3 linked regions of the Drosophila melanogaster genome follow. The protein of the gene in region 1 purifies or fractionates together with the protein of each later gene. This does not show direct contact. Each region holds a gene or a part of one and is shown in the gene's direction. Other genes may lie near its edges.

What was found. The genes of interacting proteins can lie anywhere in the genome.
Region 2: the proteins of mri (region 1) and RNF220 purify together in Drosophila melanogaster (affinity purification with western blotting; one study listed by BioGRID). This does not show direct contact.
Region 3: the proteins of mri (region 1) and CG4854 purify together in Drosophila melanogaster (affinity purification with mass spectrometry, with the first as the bait; 2 studies listed by BioGRID). This does not show direct contact.

Annotation. Positions count from the first base shown.
Region 1 is NT_037436.4:194,675-202,652, forward strand, and holds mri (mrityu), read left to right. Parts: upstream 1-5,499; 5' UTR 5,500-5,797; coding exon 5,798-6,386; intron 6,387-6,496; coding exon 6,497-6,694; intron 6,695-6,766; coding exon 6,767-7,084; intron 7,085-7,142; coding exon 7,143-7,357; 3' UTR 7,358-7,478; downstream 7,479-7,978. Other genes in the region: rno (rhinoceros), read right to left, coding at 1-1,929, 1,999-2,615, 2,674-2,863, 2,916-3,132, 3,206-3,400, 3,462-3,913; Gk1 (glycerol kinase 1), read right to left, coding at 7,540-7,755, 7,815-7,978.
Region 2 is NT_033777.3:22,723,032-22,730,705, reverse strand, and holds RNF220 (ring finger protein 220), read left to right. Parts: upstream 1-4,291; 5' UTR 4,292-4,436; coding exon 4,437-5,633; 3' UTR 5,634-5,822; downstream 5,823-7,674. Other genes in the region: CG45049 (uncharacterized protein), read right to left, coding at 599-759, 827-889, 947-1,096, 1,167-1,353, 1,422-1,497, 3,215-3,399; Irp-1A (iron regulatory protein 1A), read left to right, coding at 6,182-6,194, 6,255-6,347, 6,419-6,588, 6,655-7,384, 7,447-7,547, 7,611-7,674.
Region 3 is NT_033777.3:20,023,841-20,031,413, forward strand, and holds CG4854 (uncharacterized protein), read left to right. Parts: upstream 1-4,217; 5' UTR 4,218-4,314; coding exon 4,315-4,440; intron 4,441-4,498; coding exon 4,499-4,998; intron 4,999-5,063; coding exon 5,064-5,198; intron 5,199-5,359; coding exon 5,360-5,558; 3' UTR 5,559-5,721; downstream 5,722-7,573. Other genes in the region: psidin (phagocyte signaling impaired), read left to right, coding at 1-9, 75-474, 540-1,823, 1,887-2,085, 2,146-2,330; CG4424 (uncharacterized protein), read right to left, coding at 2,787-2,925, 2,991-3,101, 3,212-3,346, 3,407-3,909, 3,971-4,120; trem (trade embargo), read right to left, coding at 5,826-5,991, 6,051-6,161, 6,218-6,352, 6,409-7,169, 7,224-7,370.

The DNA of each region.
Region 1 (7,978 bases):
ACTTGATTTATCCGCTTCATTCGACACACGAGAGCTTGAATCCTTCACCTTGCTCTTTGCAGTTCCTGAAATGGAGTTTATGTCTGGCTCTCTGACTCTGTCGGACACATCTGGCTGTAGCGTCGTGGCGAGATTTGTGGATCGCATGTTCTCAGAAGCCTTTTTGGCTGCCTGGCGCTGTGGCACCACCAAAAGATCTGCCGGATACAACTTGGCATTCGGGTTCGGTTTGGTTTTTGTACTGTTGCCGATACTGGCAGCCCCTTCCTTTCCTTCCCGCGTGTTCTTCGCTTTACTAGTTGAGGACGCTGCTTGGGAAGTAGAGGATGTTGTGGCTGCTGTTCCTGGCACAAACTCTTTCATAGCTGCCTTTGTTCTAATCGTCTGTTGGTTTTGTGAGTCACTAACATTACTTTCCACGGTGGCCTGCTCCTCCTGGTCTTTTTCTTGTTCAGAGGAACTGCTCTCAGAGTCGGAGTAGATATGCTGTCCCAAGTTTCTACCAATGGCCGAACCAGTCGTGGCTAGTCCGGAAGTCGTTGTGCTCTCACGCTGTCGTTCCCCTCTTAGAGGCAACAATTCCTCACTTTCGTCGCTCGATACGCTCTCATCGGCATCTTTATCCATTTGGGCAAGTCCTCGTGTTGTCGTAGACAACTTTCGTCTTGCAGAGGCTCCAGTTCCCTCTCCAACGTCTGCTTCCGTTGTAGGTTTTGACCTACTTGCCTGGCTCCTATTAGGTACTGATTTGCTTTGAATTGGCCCCCGTCTCGCACCGCGCTCTGGTTCTTGGCGGTTTCTACATCGCTCGTCTTCACCGTCGCTGGAGCTGCTTGCAGACCTGGAATCCGGATACGTTGCAGACGCACCCGCAACTGCTTCATTTTGACGTCGCTGTCGCTGTTTTTGCCGCTGCTCAACGGACCGAGCGTAGCTTTGCTTTTTAAGGGGACTTCCTGAGGAAGACTTTCGCTTGGAGACTCCGCTACCCGCGCTAGAGCTACCGCTTTCACTACCCGAATCACTTCCTGAGGAACTATCGGAGCTGCTGGTACCATTCGCCGAGCTGGAATTACCTGATGATATAGTGCCGCTTGACGAATGGGAGGTCGTGCTACTGCGGATATTTGAGTGGAATTGACTTTTGTTGTGGGTCGACGTCGCCGCCGCCGCGCTGCTCTTCGAGGCACGCCTCCCTGTAGGATTCTTCCCTGGCGGAGACCGTACCTTGGATGTAGTCGTTCCCACCTTACTCCCTGCCACAGTCTTCTCAGGCGATGACGTGCGTGAACTAAGAATGCCATTATTAAGCTTCTTGTTTGGCGAAGCTTTAGCAGGCTGCTTGCGTTTGTTAGGAGACTGCGAGGCACGGCCACGGCCCTGTTTACCACTCTGCAGCTTACCCATAAGCTGTTCAAGGATGTATTTCAAATCCTGGTACTGCGCCGGCACAGTTTGTCCTCCCACAGAGCTGTAGAAACGGTCATACAAAGTAGGTCCGTCGTTGGCGTAGATTACAGCGTTCAGATCCATCACAGGTTGTTGCTGCTCTTGTTTGGTCTGCTGCTTCTCCAAGCGCATCTCATCCAGAACTCCCAGCTGCTTGTAGAATACCTGCTCACGTAGCTTAAAGAGAGAGCGCGAAAGCTTTTCTCTTCGACTAACCATATAGCAGAGATTACGAACTCGCTCCAAATCCTGTCGCAAATGCACCACCAACTTATGATTTTCCATGTCCTGTTGCTCCTGCTTGCGGGCTATCATCTCCACATCTTCGGACTTGGGCGGGATAAGCTCGCGATTGTGTCGAGACTTTCTCTTAAGCTTCCAATAATTGTATATGGCAACAATAGCATCGTCGTCGACATCAAATAGATGGCAACTGATGTCATTAAAGTTAACATGCTTATCGAACTCAGCTTCCACCTCCTGAAAATCAATGGGAAAAGTTAGCAACCGAATGCATGCAGAAGGCACAACGGAAAAGAAACTACTAACCTGGAGGCGCTGAGCTCTGGCTTGGTTACGTTCCTCGGAGGTCAGTTCGGTTTTACGGTGATTTTTCCGCCTGCGTGGATCCTCTCCAGTTGTCCCGCACGCGTTGTTGCCGTCGTCGGCTCCTCCACCAGCCCCACTGCCGTATCTGTTTGCTTTCTGCATGGCGCTTGCGACTGAGGCACTGCCTCCCCCATGACTACCAGCATTTTCCTTCTTACCCTTGCTCATACTGTGTTTCTGACAATAAGAGCGCAGCTTCACGCCGTCCTCAGCATTACCTTCCTCTATGATTGCACGCATTTCCAGGCCATGCTGAAACGCGCAAGTCACATGGTATGCTGTTTTGCAGGGCTTTACTGAGCACTGGATGCAGCTGCCAACTCGCTTTCGGCAGAGTACACAGATCAGGGACCAACGCGACTGAGGAATGCTAGAGATTTTCGTGATGGGTTCCATGCGATCCACACACCCAATGCTGACCTCGGGTATCCACAGAGCGCAAGAGACGTGTGCCCAGTGCTTACCCGACTTGTTGGATTTCATAGCGCCGCCCTTATTTGGACAGAGGACACAGTCCGGCTTAATTCCCATCGAACAAGTGCGGCATAGCCATTGTCCTGAAACAAAAGTTTACATGAGCACACTAACATTTCCACTCCACTAGGTGCTGCTTACCTGATGGAATTGCTGTAATGCCATAACACGCCTGGTGCACACAGATATTGCAATTATCACAGAATACCATTTCGTTCGCCTCCTCGGAGTCGGGCGATCGGCAAACATCGCAGATGACATTCTCATCGAATTCGATGCCCAAGCCTTCTTCCAGTTTAAGTATGACTTGAATCTGTTCCCAGCAACGAACCTAGAACGCAAAAGTCAATATATTGGTTCAGCATGGGGTCTAGTGAGCTTACCTCTAGCTCCTCAATGACGCGCTCAAACTGCGTCGCGTTTATGGGAAAAGCACCACATTGGGCACGATCGCTGTTGTAGAGACGCAACCAGGCCTCGTCAATAGGATCTATATCATAGGCACATGTGTTCTCCGCCAAGGCAACAACATTCGTCAGGTAATGCAGATCCGGCGAGTAGTGCTCGTCTTTGGTAATGCGCAGATAGCGATTTTTCGGGCTGTAAACGAGAGCCGCAGTTCAGTACAGAAATTCACAAGTACGAAAAAAAAATATGCTAGGTATTAACTTACAGCTTAAAGTCGTGCGCTGGAGACACAACAGGCTCGGGCAGAACATAGACGCATGGCTCAGGAAGGGAGTCTGGGTTAACGGGCACTTGCACACCCTTTTCCCATTCCTGCTTCCATGGGTCTGTTACTATTAAATACTCGTAGTTGGCCAACGGCTCAGAGTCTGGCAATTTCATTGCGCTAATGAGATCCTTGCTGCAATTAAAATTTGAATATTATTGAATCGTTTCTAATTGGTTTGCTGGTCTGTTAATACCGGTAAAGTTCAGCTGGAGCTTCCGTTGAGCTTCGATTGTAGATGCTCGACATCTTGATGTCCGCTACAGACCGCGCCTGCCAGGAGCTACTAGAACTCGCCCCCTGCGACTTGCACTTGCTTGCCGACTTTGCCAGTTTCGTTGACTTCGATTTGCTAGTGCTGGTAGCGCCTGCCGCGGCTCTTCCTTGTCCTCCTCCCCCCGCTTCCGCCCCTGGCTCTTCATGTTTGCTTTTGCACAAAGGCAGAACTGGCACACGCTCCGATCCTGTAGCTGGACCCGATCCAGTCACTTCAGCTACTGCTGCCGTAGTGGCTCCATTAGGTGGCCTACCTTTGCGCCGCTTGGTGGGCGGCGGCTGCGGCTCAACATCCTTGCGCTGATGCTGTTGCGGCGGCGGATGGTGCGACTGGTGATGCTGCTGATTACCGCGCTTACCTCTTTGTGACATTTTTCATTGGTGTTGATTGGATATTTGTGTGTTTTTGCTTCGATTGGTACCTTGTCCCTTGTGTCTTGTGCTTGTTAGAGAACGGGTTCTTTGCTGCAAGACCTAGAAGTAAGAAGGCAAAAGCAGCTTCAATACGTATTTCACGCGATTTATTTACTAACCAAATTTACTTACTACATGCTTAAGGCCACAGTTGGCGACACCACACCGGCTGCTGCTGCTGCGCTCTCCTGGATGTGGTGCGGTCGTGATTCTTGGTGGTCCACCCTTTGTGCCCCGTGGACATGGACGCCGCTGCTGCCCCAGCCCTAATATCCAGTAGCGACGCCACTTTGCAGTCCTGTGTGCTCCGCACTTCTCCACGGGCGAGTTAGTCCACTTCCACTGCCACCTTCCGCTTGCTGCCTTTTGTTATTGTTCGTTGTTTATCCACAGACTTTTGCAAGTTTTTCTTTGGCGTTTGGCTCACTGGTTTGGATTCTCGACGAGCATTCGCTAGTCTGGTGGGAGAGAAGGCATATGTTTGTGGGTTATTCGCTTATATTAGGAGCGTTCCCAGTAAGTGTCCACATTTTCTATGCTTTCCGAAAATACACAAAAAATATAGAAAAACGTTCAAGCTGCCAATAGGTGACTGGTGCAAAACCCACAGGCGCCCTCCCGCTCGCACATAGCACGCTCGTTTAAGGGCGCGCTTACTATGCGCGTGAGTGCAAGCAGGAGGCAAGCAGGTGGCGTTCGTGTTGCATCCGCCAGCTTATACACGGCACCCAGCATACCCCTCCGACACTTCACTACTCAGAAGCAATCAAAGTTTTTGCACTTTTTTTTACACTTTTATTATAACAACTTATTTGTTATTGCTATCCGCAAACCTAGACAGCCACTCTGCTCGTCGCTAGCGCTTCCGCACGCGACACGCCCACTCAGGGCGCCACTTTCGCACTGCCCATTCTTGGGGGAGTTGGGATTTTGTTATATATTTTACATTTGGGTTTTTTGCCGCCGCAGACACACACGCCAAGCACTTGTTACTGACCGAAGACCGCTCACAGTCTTCGCATTTCGTGAAGCGTCCGTATCAAACTCACGTTTCCCAAAATCGCATTTGCGTTCGCAGGAATTACAATTCTTTTGATTATTTATTTTATTTTTGAGCAAAAATTATTTTTCTCAGATCGCCATGATGAACGGTTGCAAATTTAAACTATCGAGTGCATTTAGTCGGTGGTCGGTATCGATACACAGCTTGGGTATATACAGAGTTGCATTCGGCCCAACGCTGTATTTTGTTTTAACAACATTTAATTAATTTCCACAGAATTTTCATATTAATTTGTATTTGAAAAAAAAAGTTATTTCCATTAAGTTAAGATATGTTAATTAAGAATTTTCTTATTATTACCTCTAAATATTATAGATTTTCTTAACTTAATAGAAGTTAATAATTATGTAACAAACAATGTCGAAATGATGAAATTACAATCTTTTTATTTTTTTAGAGAGGAATTTTTTATTCGTTAAAAAAAACCCGATAAGCTGAAAACAAACATCGCGATTGAAGATAAATATCGGTTAAAAATATGTTATTGTGATTACAGAGGAAAACTATCGACTGAGCGCACCCAGGAGCCCATCTCCAGCACCAACAAGAAAAAATATGTATATTTATAACTATATGTAAAAAGGAAAAAGTCGCGTCGCACAAAGGTAACGTGAATACTATTTAATCGGACCTCTGATGCAGCGATAAGCAGGCTTTTTTTCAACGGAGCCTCGCTAATTTGACCGCCCTCTGCCAGATTGTCTTTGTCTCTCTCGAAAAGTCGGTGGAACGGTGTTGTACTGGAATATTTGAAGAGTGGCTCATCAAACGCAACAAACATGTCAAACACTCCAAGTCTGAACAGTAGTAGTAGCAATATCAGTAGCAAGGCGCCCCTTGCCCAGAAGCAGGACACGTACAGTAGCGACAGCAGCGAGGAAGTTCTCGAAACAGCCGAGGAGCGGAGGAGGCGCATCCTGAAGGAGCGCAGCCGGCTGAACCGTCCGCAGCACAATATGTCAGGCGGAGGTGCTGTGCCCAAGCACGACATAAAATCCCCTTGCGGAGCATCTCCCAGCTGCCAGGCAACTGGTTCCGGAATGGGCCGCCTGCCGCTCCCTCCCGAAAGGATCACCATGCTGGTGGACGGTGTGCGCTTCACGGTGGAGCAATCACTGCTTACAGCACATCCCACCACAATGCTTGGCACGATGTTCGGCTCCGGCTTCCAGTTCGCTCATACCAACGAGCGCGGCGAGTACGACGTTGCCGACGGCATTTCGCACTTAGTGTTCAGAGCCATTCTGGAGTACTACAAAAGCGGTGTTATCCGCTGCCCGCCCACTGTTTCGGTACCGGAACTAAAAGAAGCCTGTGATTATCTGCTCATTCCCTTCGACGCAACCACGGTGCGCTGCCAGAACCTAAGTGAGTATAACGCGAACTATTCCTGCCAGGGCGAACCTTAGTTGTGGCCACCTCTGCTTGTTTTCCGTCTCTTTCCTTGTAACATGCCCTCTGTTATGTTTGACATAAAGGAGGCCTTCTCCACGAGCTTAGCAACGAAGGAGCGCGACAACAATTTGAACTCTTTCTTGAGGACCTAATTCTGCCCCTCATGGTGGCCTCGGCGCAGCGCGGGGATCGAGAGTGTCACGTTGTGGTGCTCCTTGAAGACGATATGGTCGAGTGGGATGAAGAGTTTCCGCCTCAGATGGGCGAGGAGTATTGTCAGAGTGAGTGTATTTAAAAAATGTGTTTGCATTAGTATCACGGAAGTGGAAGCAACACTAACATTTCTAACGCAGCCGTGCACAGCACTGCCATGCACCGATTCTTCAAGTACATCGAGAACCGCGATGTGGCCAAACAGGTGATGAAGGATCGCGGTCTGAAGAAGATACGCTGTGGCATAGAGGGATACCCCACCCACAAAGAGAAGATCCGAAGGCGTCCCGGTGGACGGGCTGAAGTCATCTACAGCTATGTGCAGCGACCTTTCATCCACATGTCCTGGGAGAAGGAGGAAGCAAAGAGTCGCCATGTTGATTTCCAATGTGTAAAATCCAAGTCTGTAACGAATCTAGCGGAAGCAAATGCAGATCCGCCACTGGAATTGGACGCAAGTGCGTAAGGCTCGAAACGGAGAGTAACAGCTCCCTTAAAGCCCAAATTCGTTTTCAGGTGGAAATCCGATTCCCCCTATAGCAGTGGCTAATCCGCATCCCAATAACGCTGAGCTCGCTGCCGGTATGGCCGTCGCACCCGCAGCTATAGGCGTGGCTGGTCCAGCAGTCGTGGTAGCCGTCGACGAGGCGGCCGGGGGCGTTGTAATGCTCAACGAGTTGGACCAGGCAGCGATCGCTGTTGCCGTCGGAATAGTTGATGAAAATATGTAGATCAACTGACCGGCTGGTAGTCGGAACACACTGCCAGAGCATCACAGCGCACAGAAAAACACTTTACGTTTTTAATTAACATTTTTATATGTATATGTAATAAATGGAAATTTCGAATACGAAAAACCAAGCAATTGATTTACGAATAGAAGAACATGAACGTTACCAGACATTAGCTGTGATCACGCTCCGTCAAAGGCCTCCCGTTCGCCCTGTGGAAGCGTCGAAGTCTCCCAGTTCAGTGAACGATCGATAGCCATTTTCCACTTTTGGTAGCGCAGGTTGCGATCGGTGGCACTGATCGATGGCTTTATGGCTTCTCGGGGGCCAGATTTAGAGAGTGGAGCCTCCATTTGGTATCGGTTTTCAACGGCTTTGTAGGCTGCCATTGCAGCTCCCTAAAGCATTTTTGAAGCATTATTGAAGCTGCATTTACATCACAAGTTAAAGTACTAACCAGCGCTGTTGTCTCTGCGATCTTCGCCCGGAGTACTTGAATTCCTACTAGGTCGGATTGAAGCTGCAGGAACAGATTATTCACAGTCATGCCCCCGTCTACCATAAGCTTGGCCAGTGGAATCTTGCAGTCCTTGTGCATCGAATCGAGAATATCACGGACCT
Region 2 (7,674 bases), on another chromosome or scaffold:
ACGATTAGGATTGAGATACATGGGGAGTACATTGCTATGTATAATGTAGCTGAGTACGAGTATGAGTACAATATTGTAAGAGGTCTAATTTCAACTGGCACCTGCTCTCAGTTTTCTACGGAAAAGCAAGCTCTAAAAGTTGCCTACAATGCTGGGGAACTCATGTGGCATGCAGTTGTATATATGTAGGGGTTTTTGGTTAATGCGATTAACTTTCAGAATTCCTAGACGTACATACATGTGACTGACTGACTGACTGACTACATGATAGATGTGGGTCGTGTGTTTGTGGCTTGTCTACGATTACCTTTCGAAACGAACGAACACAAAATCAACTCATTGGGTGTAACGTCATCTAAACAAATGCCGAGTACTATAAGATGGTGGGTGGGGGGTGGTTTATAAGATGGCTACGGATTTTTGGTTTGAAATGGTCATGATATACACAATCATAATTGTAACACATTCGCTTAGCTGCAAATTGCTTCTGTTCTTGAGTCTGATTTAAATCGAAATCTATGTGTGTCTGTGTGTGTTGTTGGTTGGTTGCTATATACTTATTCTACAGAACGACGTCAGGCAGGTCGTGCGGCCTTGCCTAGGCGCGCATTTGGTTTTCATGTACGATTTTCCTTTCCTTATAGTAGATCTCCTCCGACTCCTTGTCGCAGAGCAGCAGGACAACGGCCCCAAATAGAAAGATGGCCGCACCCCAGCCGACGCCATAGGCCCAGCCAAATTCCCAGACTCGTCGATTGGCTATAACATTAAATGGAATACAAGTCAGTGGAAAGAAGTTCAACATCAAGGTTTCAGGCTACCATACCCATGGTTAGTTCGCCGGCAAAGCATACTGGATATACGATCAAGGCGGACAATACGGCCAGCACTGCGAAAAAGTTATATTTAACATGTGATTCTGACATAAGTTCAGCTAGTTACTCACAGGATACAAGCATCACCAATACTGCTATACGATAGAACTTATACTTTAGATTATGATTCTGCGTCCGGAGGCCCAGACCTGTCAGTACTGTGGCAATGACGTCCGTTATCAGCGTGATGATGCACAGAGCGGCTGTGGCCTTAATGTAGCCTAAGGGACATTATACGAATTATATGTTAAATTCGAGCTTAAGATTGCTGTTTCTTCATGCAATACATACCGACATCGCGGGTCCAGTAGCATCCTGGCGGATCCTGGATATTGAATGGCAGCGGCGGCACCGAATCATCCTCGATGCAGTGCACAAAGAGACCTTGCCGCCAGTCTGAGGCCATTAACCAATCTGTGGACGCCAGAGCCATAATCATGAGGGCCACCACGATGACGCCGCAGATAAATGCAATCACCTGTGAGGGCAGAGAAATCAGTCGGTGCAATCTGTAAACGTTTCCGAAACTTTAGGCCAAATGCATACCTTCAGCGGCCTCGTGATTGTGATGGTCTCAATCGTCGTGGTCGGCGCCATTTTCTCCGCTGGTGGACGTAGAACACTGCGCGCATGATAATTGTGATTAATTGCGGGGGTAGGGGTATTTTTACCGGCTTATTAGGCCAGCCAAACTCACCTTATCGACTATGTATATGCAGGCAATGTGCTGCCCGCAGCTACTAATTGGAATGCGTTTCAATGCGTTTCTTGGTTAGTTTTGCTTAGTGGGATGTTGGAAGGGTTTCTTTTCTTTTCTTTTTGTTTTTTTTTACTTTTTTGGGGCAGGCAAGTAAATGCTACGCCGGTTGGCTTTAACAATCTAATATAAATGCTTCAATTGGCGTTTTATTGCTTTTGGTTTGCGCGCTAAGGTTTATCCAATGCGTTTTCAATTTCAAATTGCTGGCGGAAGCAGCCCGTTCAACATCTGTATTGTCAAAGAGGGGGGATTTGTTTGTTAGCGGGACGGGAAATAGAGAAATTGGTGACATTCGATTAGACCGACTGGCGCACATGGTTTGTACAACATGATTGTTTACATCAAGACAGTTAAGTAAGCAGCAGCAACATGCAAAAACAACTCGAGCAACAATATCGACAAAGACAATGGCTAACTATTATGGGGTTTATTCCAATCGAACTGCATCAACGCGACAATTAAAACTACGGTAGTGCTCAAATTTTTAGGTTTTTAACTATTATCATTCTATTATCATGTGTAATGAACAACAACTATTGAACTTTAGATTTAGCATTGATATGCAAAAAAAATAGGATCAGAATTTGGTTGAGAGCAGAATAAACTTTAGCTATACTATTTTGACCAGAATTGTAGACATCAATGTAGTATGTATGTTTTGTATTAACTGACGCAATTTACAAAACAATGCGTTGGTACAGTTGAATGAGTTTGGGATTGTTTAAATTGAAATCGCTCTATTGTGCCAGACAAAAACGCGACGGAATATTTCAGTCATCATTGGGGGGCGTATTTTGGCTCAATGACAAAAGACGGAAGCTGGGGTGATGAGGTGCAGTCCCCACATAAATTATGCTGCAAGGCGGACTGCAACTAAGCATTTTGAATGCTGGAAATACCGACATGCTAATTATCCATTCGCATTCCATTGTTATACCCTAACTGAGAGTACAATAGAATAGGTCAGACTTGTGACAATTTATGTACGTTTGTAAAAAAAATATCAGCATCTTGAAATGAAATTTTGAACAAATATTATAAAACAGAGTCTTCTTATTATCGATCTTGCTCAATAGTTGCTAACAAATAGGAAGTGTATCAAAATTTCGTTAAAACTGCATATTATGCCTAATTCGCACGATTCCCTGCCAATTTTAATATCTTCAGATACGCAAACAAAGATGCATATGTTTGTGTAAGTAGATGTTGCGTCTAATGTATCTCAAGATATTTCGACGGGCTAGACGGAGATAAATATAGTTTTACATATAGCGGCTAGAAATGTGGAATAAAAACAAAAACACATTTCGCAGATGAGCGAGTACCGACTTTGTGTGTGTGAGTGTGTGTGTGTGAATGAGTGGCATGGCAACAGGATCATAACGGTTAATTGCTATATAGAACGTAACGGTAACGGCAGGCAAAATTGGGGCAAACGGCCAAATGCAAAACAACAACAATGGCAAGGGCGAGGGAATTCGTATACACGTATGTTTATATATGTGTGTGTGTGTGTTGTGTGCTATGCGGAAGAACGGAAGCAAAACAAAATGCGATCTGTTTGAGTTCAGGAATATACCTTTCCTTGTAATAGTCCAGGGTTACCGATTCGGAATCAAATTCTGAATAATCTGGCAGCGATTCGGCATCAAAGGAGCTCATTCCGCTGAGCGTGTAATTGGGCAAGACGTTCATTTTGTTGTTGTAGCCAACAAGGTTACCCTGCTGCTGTTGTTGTTGCTGCTGCTGGTACTGCTGATGCATAGTTGTTGCTGTTTTTTCTACGTTTATTTTACTATATTTGCCTTATTTAACAATATGGCACACGCACACACACTCACGCCCAGGAGAAACTGGCTGCTATATTTTTTCTCTATTCTCTTTTCGCTGCCTTTTCACACTCTCGCCGTCTGCTTTGCACTTTCGCAAAAATATGCGTCGGTTTTGGGTTCAACCTGTATGCACTTACACTCTGCTTGAAAAGCTCTGTCGCTTTTCCACTTTCACATGTTCCTCGACCACTGACTTTTCTATATAATCAAAAAATAAAAACGACGAAAATAATAATGTTTTGCTTCCCTCATAGAGCTGGAACTTAAATCGATGTTGTCTCGATACTATCGTTTTGGCTGGGCATTTCTCGATAGCGATAAAGTGCCATGGAACTATCAGTTAATTTACATTTACCGTCAAATTATTTAATTTAACGAAGAAAGGAAATTAAAATAGCTTACATTTCGGATGTTTAAACTTTTATCAAAGCGGGGGCTGTGCTTTATAAAAATTTCCTAACAGTGAGGGAGAGACACTATCTGTCACATGTTATATCGGGCATGTAAACAACGCAATCTGATAATATATATATATTGCTGTATTAAGACCAACCAGAGTAGAGTAAAAATTAAGAAATCAGTACGTTTAATTATTTTATTGTAAGACTTAAGGTCAAAAGAGTTGTTGGAATGCAAAATGCAAACTTTGAAGTTTTAATTAACACGGAATTCAAACAAATAATCAATTATTATAAAGATATTTTTAAGTGAATAAAATTTTAATTATTGCTTAAGCATATTAATCACTGTGCTTGGCGCTTTTGTAACGGTTTTACGATGTATATCGCAATGACCACTTCCACTGACACGAAAAATAACGAAATCAGTGTGACCGTTTTCCACCGTACGAGAACGTAAGAAATCGGCGTCGCGTGGCTTGGACAGAGATTATCGAACAAAACAAAATCCGACTACAGAATCTTTTAACTTCGTTTACCCTTAAGAGTCCGCGGTGGATCCGAGGAATCGATGGCTACGGACACGGTGTCCAACGGCGAGAACTTCGCCCAGCACTTGAGCAGAAACAGCGACGACGACGTGATCTGTCCCACATGCGACGTGAAGATCAAGCGCAGTCAGGTGGCCGATCACTGCCAAGTGGAGATGGAGCGATTGCACAATCCCATTAGCGCTGTCACTCCACCGACCCCAACTAGCGGAGCAACCGCGTCCGAGGAATCCGGTTCGGTATCGGGGGGCAGACAACCGTGGAGCGTGTTCCAGCGGGTGCAGCGCAATCGGCAGGCCCGTCAGCGCCAGCGCACCAGGAAGCGTCCGGCTTCTCCTGCCCCACCAGCAACTGTAAATCCTACGGTAGCAGCTGCTCCTCCTCCAGCTGCAGCAACTCCGTCCGTAGCTGCTGCCGAATCGAGCCAACCCACCTGTCCCGTGTGCAACCACAACTTTCCGCAGTCCAACATCCAAGAGCATGTTAATCATTGCCTGCGCCAGAGCCGCCGCAATGGTCAGGCCAATGGTGAGCGGCATTCGAGTGAGGACTCGGAGGACAGCGAGGAATATGAAGAGTACGAGTGGGCGGGACAGAAGCGCATTCGCGTCTCCACTCTCGTGCAAGGAGGCTATTCCGCCCTGGGCCTGGGCCAGAGAATCAAATACAATGGCAGTCAGCAGGCGCAGGACGACGAGGACGAAGATCTCAACGTGGACGAGGATGACACTCACATCTATGGTCCTACGCAGTATGGCGAGGGCGATGTGATCCCACTGGTCAACGAGGACACAGAGGGAAATGTTTCCGAGGCGGATGTTACCAGCTACGTGCGCCGACTTATCTCCTCCAGCGATGGGCCCAAGCCAAACCATTCCAGCGAAGCCACCGAGCAAGAGCCTGCCAGCACAAGCAACGTGGAGGCTCCACCAGCCAGCGAGGAGCCGTCTACGTCGCGGTCCACGCGATCCACCTCCCAAAACCAGCAGCAGATCATCGAATCGCTGAAGGCCAAGCTGCGGCTCTACGAAAAGCAGGCGCAGGGCAAGTACAAGTGCCTGATCTGCATCGACGACTACAAGAATCCCGCCATCTCCGTGTCCTGCTGGCACGTCCACTGCGAGCAGTGTTGGTTGCAGACGCTCGGCGCGCGAAAGCTGTGCCCGCAGTGCAACTCGATTACCACGCCGAAGGACCTGCGACGAATCTACCTGTAGACGTCCATCACAGACTTGTTATCCCCGCTGCCAAATTGCTTGCGCCATAAAACAGGCTTTGCATCCCGACGCAGCTTTAGATGATAATCCCCTATACATATTATTTATATAGATTACAAATACCAATTATACTACGTGACATTACAATAAGCCTACCATGTAACTATTGCAATAAACCGCAGAAAACATAATTAATATTTAAGTTTATTTAACGAAATTAGCATGTAGGAAGGGAAAAGCGTTTAAAGACATGCAAACAAGTTATTTTAAATACCTTATTTTGAACTAAAATAAAAAAGCAATCAATCCAATATTATATCCAATATTATTTTCGAATCACAAAAATGATAAATTATTCCACTATAATTTACAAATGTTTCATTTTAAGTAATAAATAAATATTTTTTACTGTGTACCGGTTTGTTTTCATGTTCAGTTATCGATAATATAATGTTTGCGTTAGTGATGAGCAAGTTTTGCCTGGTAGCGGTTCCTCACGCGCTCATCTCTATATCACATTGCTTGGTTTTCTGTTTAATTTTTCCACAATGTCCGGCTCCGGTGGGATTTAATTGGAAAAAGGAGTATTTGATCTGTACGCTAATCCTGTCTTCCTTGCAGGCGCCAATCCCTTTGCCCAGTTCCAGGAGTCATTCACCCAGGACGGCAACGTCTACAAGTATTTTGATCTGCCCTCCATCGACAGCAAATATGGTTGGTAATCGTTATTGTTGTTCGTTATCATTATTGTTGTTATCTTTATGAATATTATTAACCCCCCACAGAGTCACTGCCCTTTTCCATTCGCGTTCTGCTGGAATCAGCGGTGCGCAACTGTGACAACTTTCATGTGCTGGAGAAGGATGTGCAGAGCATCCTGGGATGGACTCCATCGCTGAAGCAGGAAACCAGCGATGTGGAAGTCTCCTTCAAGCCAGCTCGTGTTATATTGCAGGTGTGGATTATTGCATCACATAGATTATGTTTGTATGTGACTTCTTAAGATATTCCCTGCTTTCAGGACTTTACTGGCGTTCCCGCCGTCGTGGATTTTGCTGCCATGCGGGATGCTGTCCGCGAGCTGGGCGGCAATCCTGAGAAAATCAATCCCATCTGCCCTGCCGACCTGGTCATCGACCATTCCGTTCAGGTGGATTTCGTTCGCTCCTCGGACGCATTGACCAAGAACGAGTCACTAGAGTTCCAGCGCAACAAGGAACGATTCACCTTCCTCAAATGGGGAGCTCGCGCTTTTGACAATATGCTAATTGTGCCACCCGGCTCTGGCATTGTGCACCAGGTTAACCTGGAGTATCTGGCCCGAGTGGTTTTCGAAAGCGACAGTTCAGCGGACGGATCTAAGATCCTTTATCCGGATAGCGTTGTGGGCACTGACTCCCACACTACAATGATCAATGGATTAGGTGTTCTCGGCTGGGGTGTTGGCGGTATCGAGGCGGAGGCCGTAATGTTGGGCCAGTCCATTTCCATGCTGTTGCCAGAGGTGATTGGCTACAGGCTGGAGGGCAAACTGGGCCCTCTGGCCACATCCACCGATCTGGTGCTGACCATTACCAAGCATTTGCGTCAGCTTGGTGTCGTCGGCAAGTTCGTGGAGTTTTACGGCCCCGGAGTGGCAGAGCTCAGCATCGCGGATCGCGCCACCATCAGCAACATGTGTCCGGAATATGGAGCCACTGTGGGTTACTTCCCAATCGATGAAAACACGCTGAGTTACATGCGCCAAACCAGTGAGTCAATCTTAAAAATTATCTAAATTTATTACTTGATATCCATGGATGTGGATCATTAGATCGCTCCGAGAAGAAAATCGATATTATCCGGAAGTATTTGAAGGCCACTCGACAACTTCGTGACTATTCCCTTGTGGATCAGGATCCCCAATACACGGAGGTAAGTGAGATTCTGTTTTTCCAATGCAAAGACATACTAACGAATCACTTTTTTACCCTGCAGTCTGTAACTTTGGACTTATCCACCGTGGTGACCTCGGTTTCGGGGCCCAAGCGACCGCACGATC
Region 3 (7,573 bases), on another chromosome or scaffold:
GGACGCAGAGTGAGCTTAAACAATAAGTTCATATGTATAACTACGTTTTCTAAGTTTTATTTTTTATCCCCAAGTCGTGATCGTTGGGACTTCTACAAGGAGTATATCCAAAGCTCGTTCGAGCTGCTAAAACTTACGCCGCAGGGCGTGGAGAACGGGGATAAGGACTCTCTGGCCAGGTGTCAGGAGTTCCTTCAGCGCATCATTGACTCCTCGGAGCGCAAGAAAAGGGGACCCTATCTGGCGCGGTTGGAGCTACACCAACGCATGCGAGCGGAGCAATTGCCGGCGGAAAAACTAATCGGTGACTTTGACGAGATGGTCATTGAGTACTTCCGTCTGTTCGGCGACAAATCGTGCTGCACTCACGATATCGCCTTGTTCTTGCCTTCGATCAGCATGAACCAGAGGCAAGCGCTAGCCAGCAAGTTGTTGTTGGAGAGCGGAGTAACCTCCACGTCGCTTCCAAAAAATGTAAGTACGCAAAAATTATAAATTCAACTTTGAGTCTAACGATTGTTGGTATATGATTATTGTAGAAAGAGCAGTTGCAAAAACATCTTTGCGCTCTGCAAATCTCTCGAATGTGCGGATCCCACATGGATCTGCCTGCGGACCACCTGCTTGCCTTCTATACGGCGCTCAAGCTGCACTACGAGCACGGCAGGACTACTTTCGGTAAGAAGTTGCTGGCTACGGAAATGGGACCATCGGATGCATACGCACTGCTGGCGGCAAATGTAATGTACGATCTGAGTAGGCGGGAAAATAAGTCGGATCACCTGTTCGAGGCGCTGTGCCTGCTGCAGTATGTTCTGCGAAACAGTACGAGTAACTTCCACGTGAAACTGCTAAGTCTAAAGATCTACCATCTGTTTGGCTGCCAAGTGGGCGCACAGGAGATGTATGAGTATCTGGACATTAAGCAGATTCAGCTGGACTCCATGGGCTATGTGCACTGCCAACTGTTGGCTCTTGGAGGTCGCTTCTCGGGCAATCGTAACGTGTACGATGCCACCCTAAAGTTTTTTACGAACAGCTATAAGGAAAGGCTGGAATACATTGCGTTAACATATCGCTTTTGCACGTTTTCAAAAATGGAGGAGTTCATGAACTTCAAGGAGCGGTTAACCAACAGCTTGCAGTACGTGGCCTGCTCGGTGGAGGCGCAGATCTGTGACTTGGTTAGTTGCTATGGCAATATCACGCAGAATCTATCCGCATATGTGGCGATGAGTATTGAGCCGGCGGAGGACCGGATCGCTTGGCATGAGTTGAGCGACAATCGCGACTTAGGGGCCATTATCCGATGGGATCCGCTACATGAGGTAGACGCTGCGGAGGAGCGCAGGGAGTCGTTCGACCAGGAAGTTGAGGTGCTTCAAGTACGTTCGCTGATGCTTCGACTCTTTGCCTCTTTCATCGACTTGTACCACGGCGCGGGCTTAAAGGATTCGCCAGCGGGAGCAGAGACGGCCACCTTGGAGCTCCTGCGGGAGTCCTGGACGGGATTATTCCAGAGATTGCGCGTGATGAACTACAAGCCGTTGGCGCAAAAATTTCTAGTCAATCTGCTGCCCACACGTCTTCACCTGCTGCTCGACATGCCATACGAACGTTTCTTTGACGACCTTGCCCAGTTGGTCCTTGACTTGCAGAGCGGGTCGGCAAAGCTGGCCGAGCAGTGCAAGCGGGTGGGTGACAATGTTATTGCGACTATGGAGCTGTGCGTGCAGACCATCAACGAGAGCAACGAAAGCAACGGCATTGACGGTCTGTGGAAGCGGCGAGGTCAGCAGCAGAAAGTGGCAGCCAGTTTAGAGGTAAAATGTTGGTAGTAAAAGCAGGTAATCTTAAATTCACCAATGTTCTTATAACTTTTCCAGATGCTATCGCTGTACGCCTTCCTTCTGTCCGTGTTGAACGACAAGCTGCAGGTAAGCTCAAAGACCAAGACCAAGAAGAAGCCGGTGGAAAACAAGGTGGATGGACCGCAGCCGATCAGCGAGAAGGAGCGCAGCCAGATGTTGCAGGAGCTGATGCGACAGCTGAAGCACAAGTTTGAGGCCTGCGACACGGCCATACGTAAGTGGCTCTAGACAAATCGCCCAAAGATAAACTAAGGTATGATTCTGCAATCCTTAGGCTCCTGGAAGGCGCCCGTTTTGCCACGCGACCTCAGCTCCTTTATGTCTGACATGTCGCTGAAGCCGGAGGTGGAAGCCACGCTCATCGGCGACGTTTCGGCCACCTTTAAGGACTCGCACGAGCTGATGGTCACCGAGCTGCGCAATCTGCTGAAGGACAAGATACGCATGGTGGCCAAGTAGATGCTTCTTTGCTGTGCAAAGGCCATCAGCCAGCCAGTCCGGTCATCGTTGCCCCCACACAATCCAAGTTCATAGTTTGTTATTTAATTTTGTTAACGGATACAACCGACCTCATAATCCTCCTACACTACAATTATCTCGAACACCAGCGCCAAGTCAGCACTTATCAATCACTTTTCGGCATTTCCCTCGTACAACACATAAAAGTTGTAAAATTTTGTAAAACAAAAATTAGAAAAGAACAAAACAAAGAAAAAAGATTGCGTACCGCTTTGCAAGTAAGTCAAGTAAAAGAATAAATTGTAAAAATGTAAACAGTTTGTTTTTTTTTTTAGAATGCTTTTTAGTTAGTTTCATGAAATCTTTCTAGCAAACTTTATATAACAAAGGTCGTATATACAAAGTTTTAGGCTTTAAGCAAAGGTAAAATGTCGCGATCTTATAAATATTATATTATTAAGCATTAGCTACAGTAATCCCCACTTTAAAGGTACTTAGATAGGCAGTCAGTCGTGGATCATTTATATGCTGTTGCGTTTGCAGATGCGCCACGAGATTGTGAATGCGAGCGAAGCTTTTGTTGCAGAGTTGGCATCTGAAGTAATAATAGCAACGTGATAAGTTTTAGGTTTGATTTAGTTTAAAACCGAAACCACTTACATGTGGGGTTTTTCGCCCGTGTGCGTCTTGTAGTGCATTTTAAGGACACTGGCATATGTGAACTTCTTTCCGCAGGTCTTGCAGGCATAAGGACGCTCATTTCGATGGGTTCTGTGGAGGAAATACAATTAATTAGCTAGTCTCTACTTGTAGTTAATTAATAGAGGTTCCAAAAGATACAGAAATGTTTTTACTGGAATAATTATGTATTCTTTGCTTACCTTTCATGCTTAACTAGGGAAGTGCGATCCGCGAAGTTGCGTTGGCAATATTGGCAGGTATATGGTTTAGCTCCCGTGTGCTGCCGGATGTGGCGCTTCAGCTGGTAGTTGACGTGGAAGCTCTTGTGGCAAATCCTAAAAAGAGCCACATGACTGAGACATTTATATACACAAAAAAGTGGTAAGTACACCTACTCGCACTCGTAAGGCCGCTCATCGTTATGCCTTCGCATGTGGGTGTCCAGCGTGCTCTTCCTGGGATATCCATTGCCACAGATAGCGCACACATGCAATTTACCCTTGACGGCACCAGCAGGAGCAGGTGGAGGAGTAGATGCAGGCGGAGGATAAGGAGCAGGAAGCATTTCCACCGTTAGAACTGTGGGCCTTTCCTTTTCCGCCGGGCCATGTGGCGTTTCTTCAATGGGATCTTCCGTAGACCAAACTCCCTCTTCAAGCACCTCATCCTCTGGTGGTTCAAGCTGCTCAGTCTCTATCGGTGGCGGAGTTGAAGGTCGCGTTTGCTGCACCACCTCCTTGACTACCCCTTGCTCGACTGCATCCTTTATCACGTATTCCCGGAGAAATTCATTGGAGCGCTGGCATATCTGTCGAAATTTGTGGGCCAGAGTTAGAAATGCCTTGCATCTGAGGCAGATTCTGGTGGGCAGCACTTCCTCCTTTGCCGTTGCCCTTATCTATGGATGAGATATTACTTGAAATTAATTAGAAATATCAAGGAAAACGAAAGGATCCCACCTGAATTCCACTCAAACTTTCGATTTTGTCACAGAGGGATACGCCACCGGGCAGCCTATCGTCCGCTGTCTGGAAAATAGACACCATGTGGGCTTCGCCATCCTGCAGGCAAGTCCTGCACAGGGTCATCATGTTCAATCGTATCTCCATTTGAACCAAACGAGTTGGCCGACAAAAATTAACGATCAAAATAACTCTGCTTCCTCTTCGCTGTTTGGCCAGTCACCGATATTTATCGAAGGGCCGATTGCCATTCGCCCCGGAGCCGCACAAATTTTAATTGTTTGGTCAGTAAACAAACAAAAATTAAATATTTCGGAATTTGTACCTACAATAACAGAAGAATGCATACCAACGTGGATAGCAGGGACCTTAAGTGTCGCATCTGCTTGGTGCAGCCTAAGGATGAGTCTCTCATGCCCACGGAGCCCGATTTTCCAGATAAAATCAAACGCTGCACAGGAGTTGAAGTGGGTTTTTGAATATCTATATTATGATCTATATTACCCATTAAAAACCTACCCACAGTTGAGTGAGAGTCCCGACTGGCCCAATCGCATCTGCACCAGCTGCGCCCTGCTGCTCAGAGCTGCCCTCAAACTCAGATCCCTTTGCCAGCAGACGGAGAAGGATCTGAAGGAGCAGAAGCTGCAGGAGATAAACATAGAGATTGTTCACGATGAGCAGGAGACGAAGAAGAAAACTGAATCAAGAGACCTGTCCAAGAATGAGGCTACCGGTAGCGACAGCGAGTTGGAGTACGAGTACCTAGACTCATACGATGTAACGCTGGAGAGCAGCGAGGATGTGGCCTGTAGTGCCGATGAATTGGTCAGCATAGAGCCTGCCATCTCCGCTCCAGAGGAATCTGTCTATTCACTTAGTCCCAAACCGGTAACTTTTGAAGACGAGGACTCCGGACAGGCTGCTTCCTTTACCTGCAACATTTGCAACAATGTCTACTCAGAGCGCGTAAAGTTGACCAACCACATGAAAGTCCACAGCGCGAAGAAACCACACGAATGCGAGTAAGATTTTGATTTGAATTTGTTCCCATCGTATCCTATAATCGCATAATCCCATTATCTTGTAGAATCTGTCACAAACGTTTTCGCCAGACTCCGCAGTTGGCGAGGCACATGAACACCCACACCGGTAATCGTCCCTACAAATGTGACTATTGCGACTCCAGGTTCGCCGATCCCTCCACTCGCATTAAGCATCAGAGGTAGGTAAAAACATATAGGGCTGTCATAACTAGAATAAAAGAGATATATTTCTGTTAATCAGCTTTAATGTCAATTAATTGTTAACAAGTCTTGATAAAAGTTACTTCAAATCTAAATCTTAAGACATCCACGGAAGTTTCTAACGTTAAATACACTTTAGGATCCACACCAACGAACGACCGTACAAATGCGAGTTCTGCAGCAGGTCCTTTGGCTACTCCAACGTCCTCCGGGTTCATCTGAAAACCCATACCGGTGAACGACCATTTAGCTGCCAGTACTGCCAGAAGTCCTTCTCCCAGCTGCACCACAAAAACAGCCACGAAAAGTCACACAAAAGGACGAAAGAGGTGAAATGATTGCAGTGACTAAGAGGAAACATTGAGGTGCAAATTAAATAAGTTTCTCGTTGAAAATTGTACAATATATTAATGGATAAGTTCTAAGCCATAGGGCACCGCCATTAAAATTTGTCATTTTTCCTTATTTAATTTTTTATAAGAAGTAAAAAACAAATTGTACAAAAAAATATATCCTGTGTACATTTATTTGCTTAATGGAAGAACTTAAACAACGGCTTACTAAATACTTAGACTAAACTTTGCATAAGAACTAAAAAGAACATGTCACTCTTTGGGGAGTTCATTGAGAAACTCCGGCGTTTCCCCCTTGACATCTTCTGCTTTGGTGCTCTCTTCTGCGTCATTTCTCCAGGTGATACGTCTATTATGCGTTTCCCGATGCAAACGCAATTTGTAGGCCTTCACAAATCCTTTGCCACAAAGATCACAGCTGAAAGAGAATAGCTATTATTGCAGGATAATGAAGTAGTAAAATATGTTGATGCTTACACATGCGGCTTCTCCCCCGTGTGAATCATCTTGTGGAACTTCAGGTTGTCCGAGTAGGTAAACGTTCTGGAGCAAACGTCGCACACGTAGGGACGCTCCTTAGTGTGAATTCTGGAGAGAAATAATGTCAGTTTAATTTACTTTCAACTGTTTCGAATATTTCTCACCTATGATGTTTGGTTTTCGTGGATCGATCGGCGAAGGCAGCTGGACAGTAGTTGCACTTGTATGGTCGGTTCCCCGTGTGAGTGTTCATGTGCCGTACCAGCTGTTGATTCTGCACAAAGCCTCTTCCGCAGATCCTATAATAACATCCTATTAGCCATAGTTACTATTTACTTTCAACTTTTAAACCTACTCGCACTCGTGTGGTTTAACACCAGAATGGAATTTCATGTGCTCGGTGAGACGCGCCTGAGTCGGATAGATATTTCCGCACACATCGCAGATGTATGTGCTCAGCTTGTTGCGCGGCTTTCTGCCCACCTTCTTTTTGAAGGTTTCCACTTTTGGGCTATTCTTGTGGTATGCAACTGGCTTCCTGCCCGATCGGTCGCATTTTTCCGGCTTAGCATGAGTTGGGTCATAATCTTCGTCAGAGTCGAGTATGTCTTCAGCAATTTCTTCTTCGGGCGGCTCCTCTGTGGCAACATCTGTGCCGGTGGAGCCTTTTTCCTGTGCGATTTCCGGCGAGTTTTCGTTGGTGAGCAGTTCGTATTCCTCGTATTCAGCATAGGTTTCAGCCTCCTCGATCTCATTTGGCACCGGCTGCGTGGGATCGTGCACATCGAACATATTGGTATCATCAGTATCACCATCCTCCACGACATAGGTGATAACCTGATGTTGCTGATCCTCCTCGCCCTCCACTTTCATGCCGCCATCCAGCTGACTGGCGTAGTCCTCCCACGACTTCAGTACGCTCTCCACCGAAAGGTCCTCCGCGATGCTAAGCAAATCCCCTTCGCCGGCGGCGTTAGCATTGCTGGCCTCCCGGTCCAGCATGTCCATAATGTGCTGATGGGATCGCTGGCATGTCAGACGGAACTTGTAGCAGAGCCGCAGGCAGCGCACGCACTTGCTGCACATCTTGTCCGGGAAGTTGTCATCTAGGCTGACCTGTTTGGGTTGGAATAATTTAAAATGGGCAAACCAAGCAGGATTCACACTTACTGGAATGCCTGCGCAAATGTGCAGCATTTGGTCCAGTCGCGTGCTTGCCGTTTCGCTGAATATGTCGTGGAGCAGCTCCTCGCCCTCGCTGGGATTGTTCAGGCAAACGCGGCACACCACCCACTTCTCGTTGGACTCAGTTTTCATGGCTAATTCGATAAAACAATCACTTCGGTTGTTGCAGAAGATTCAAACAGCTGAATTTAAGCGTCCACGGCCACTGGCCATTCACAGCGAAACGCGCCCGCCAAAGTTGATACGGTGAATGCACGTTATGAACGACTACATGGAGCGTACAGGGTACATAGCTGTATGTGCACTTTTTACCAAACAAATGTTTTAAATAATTT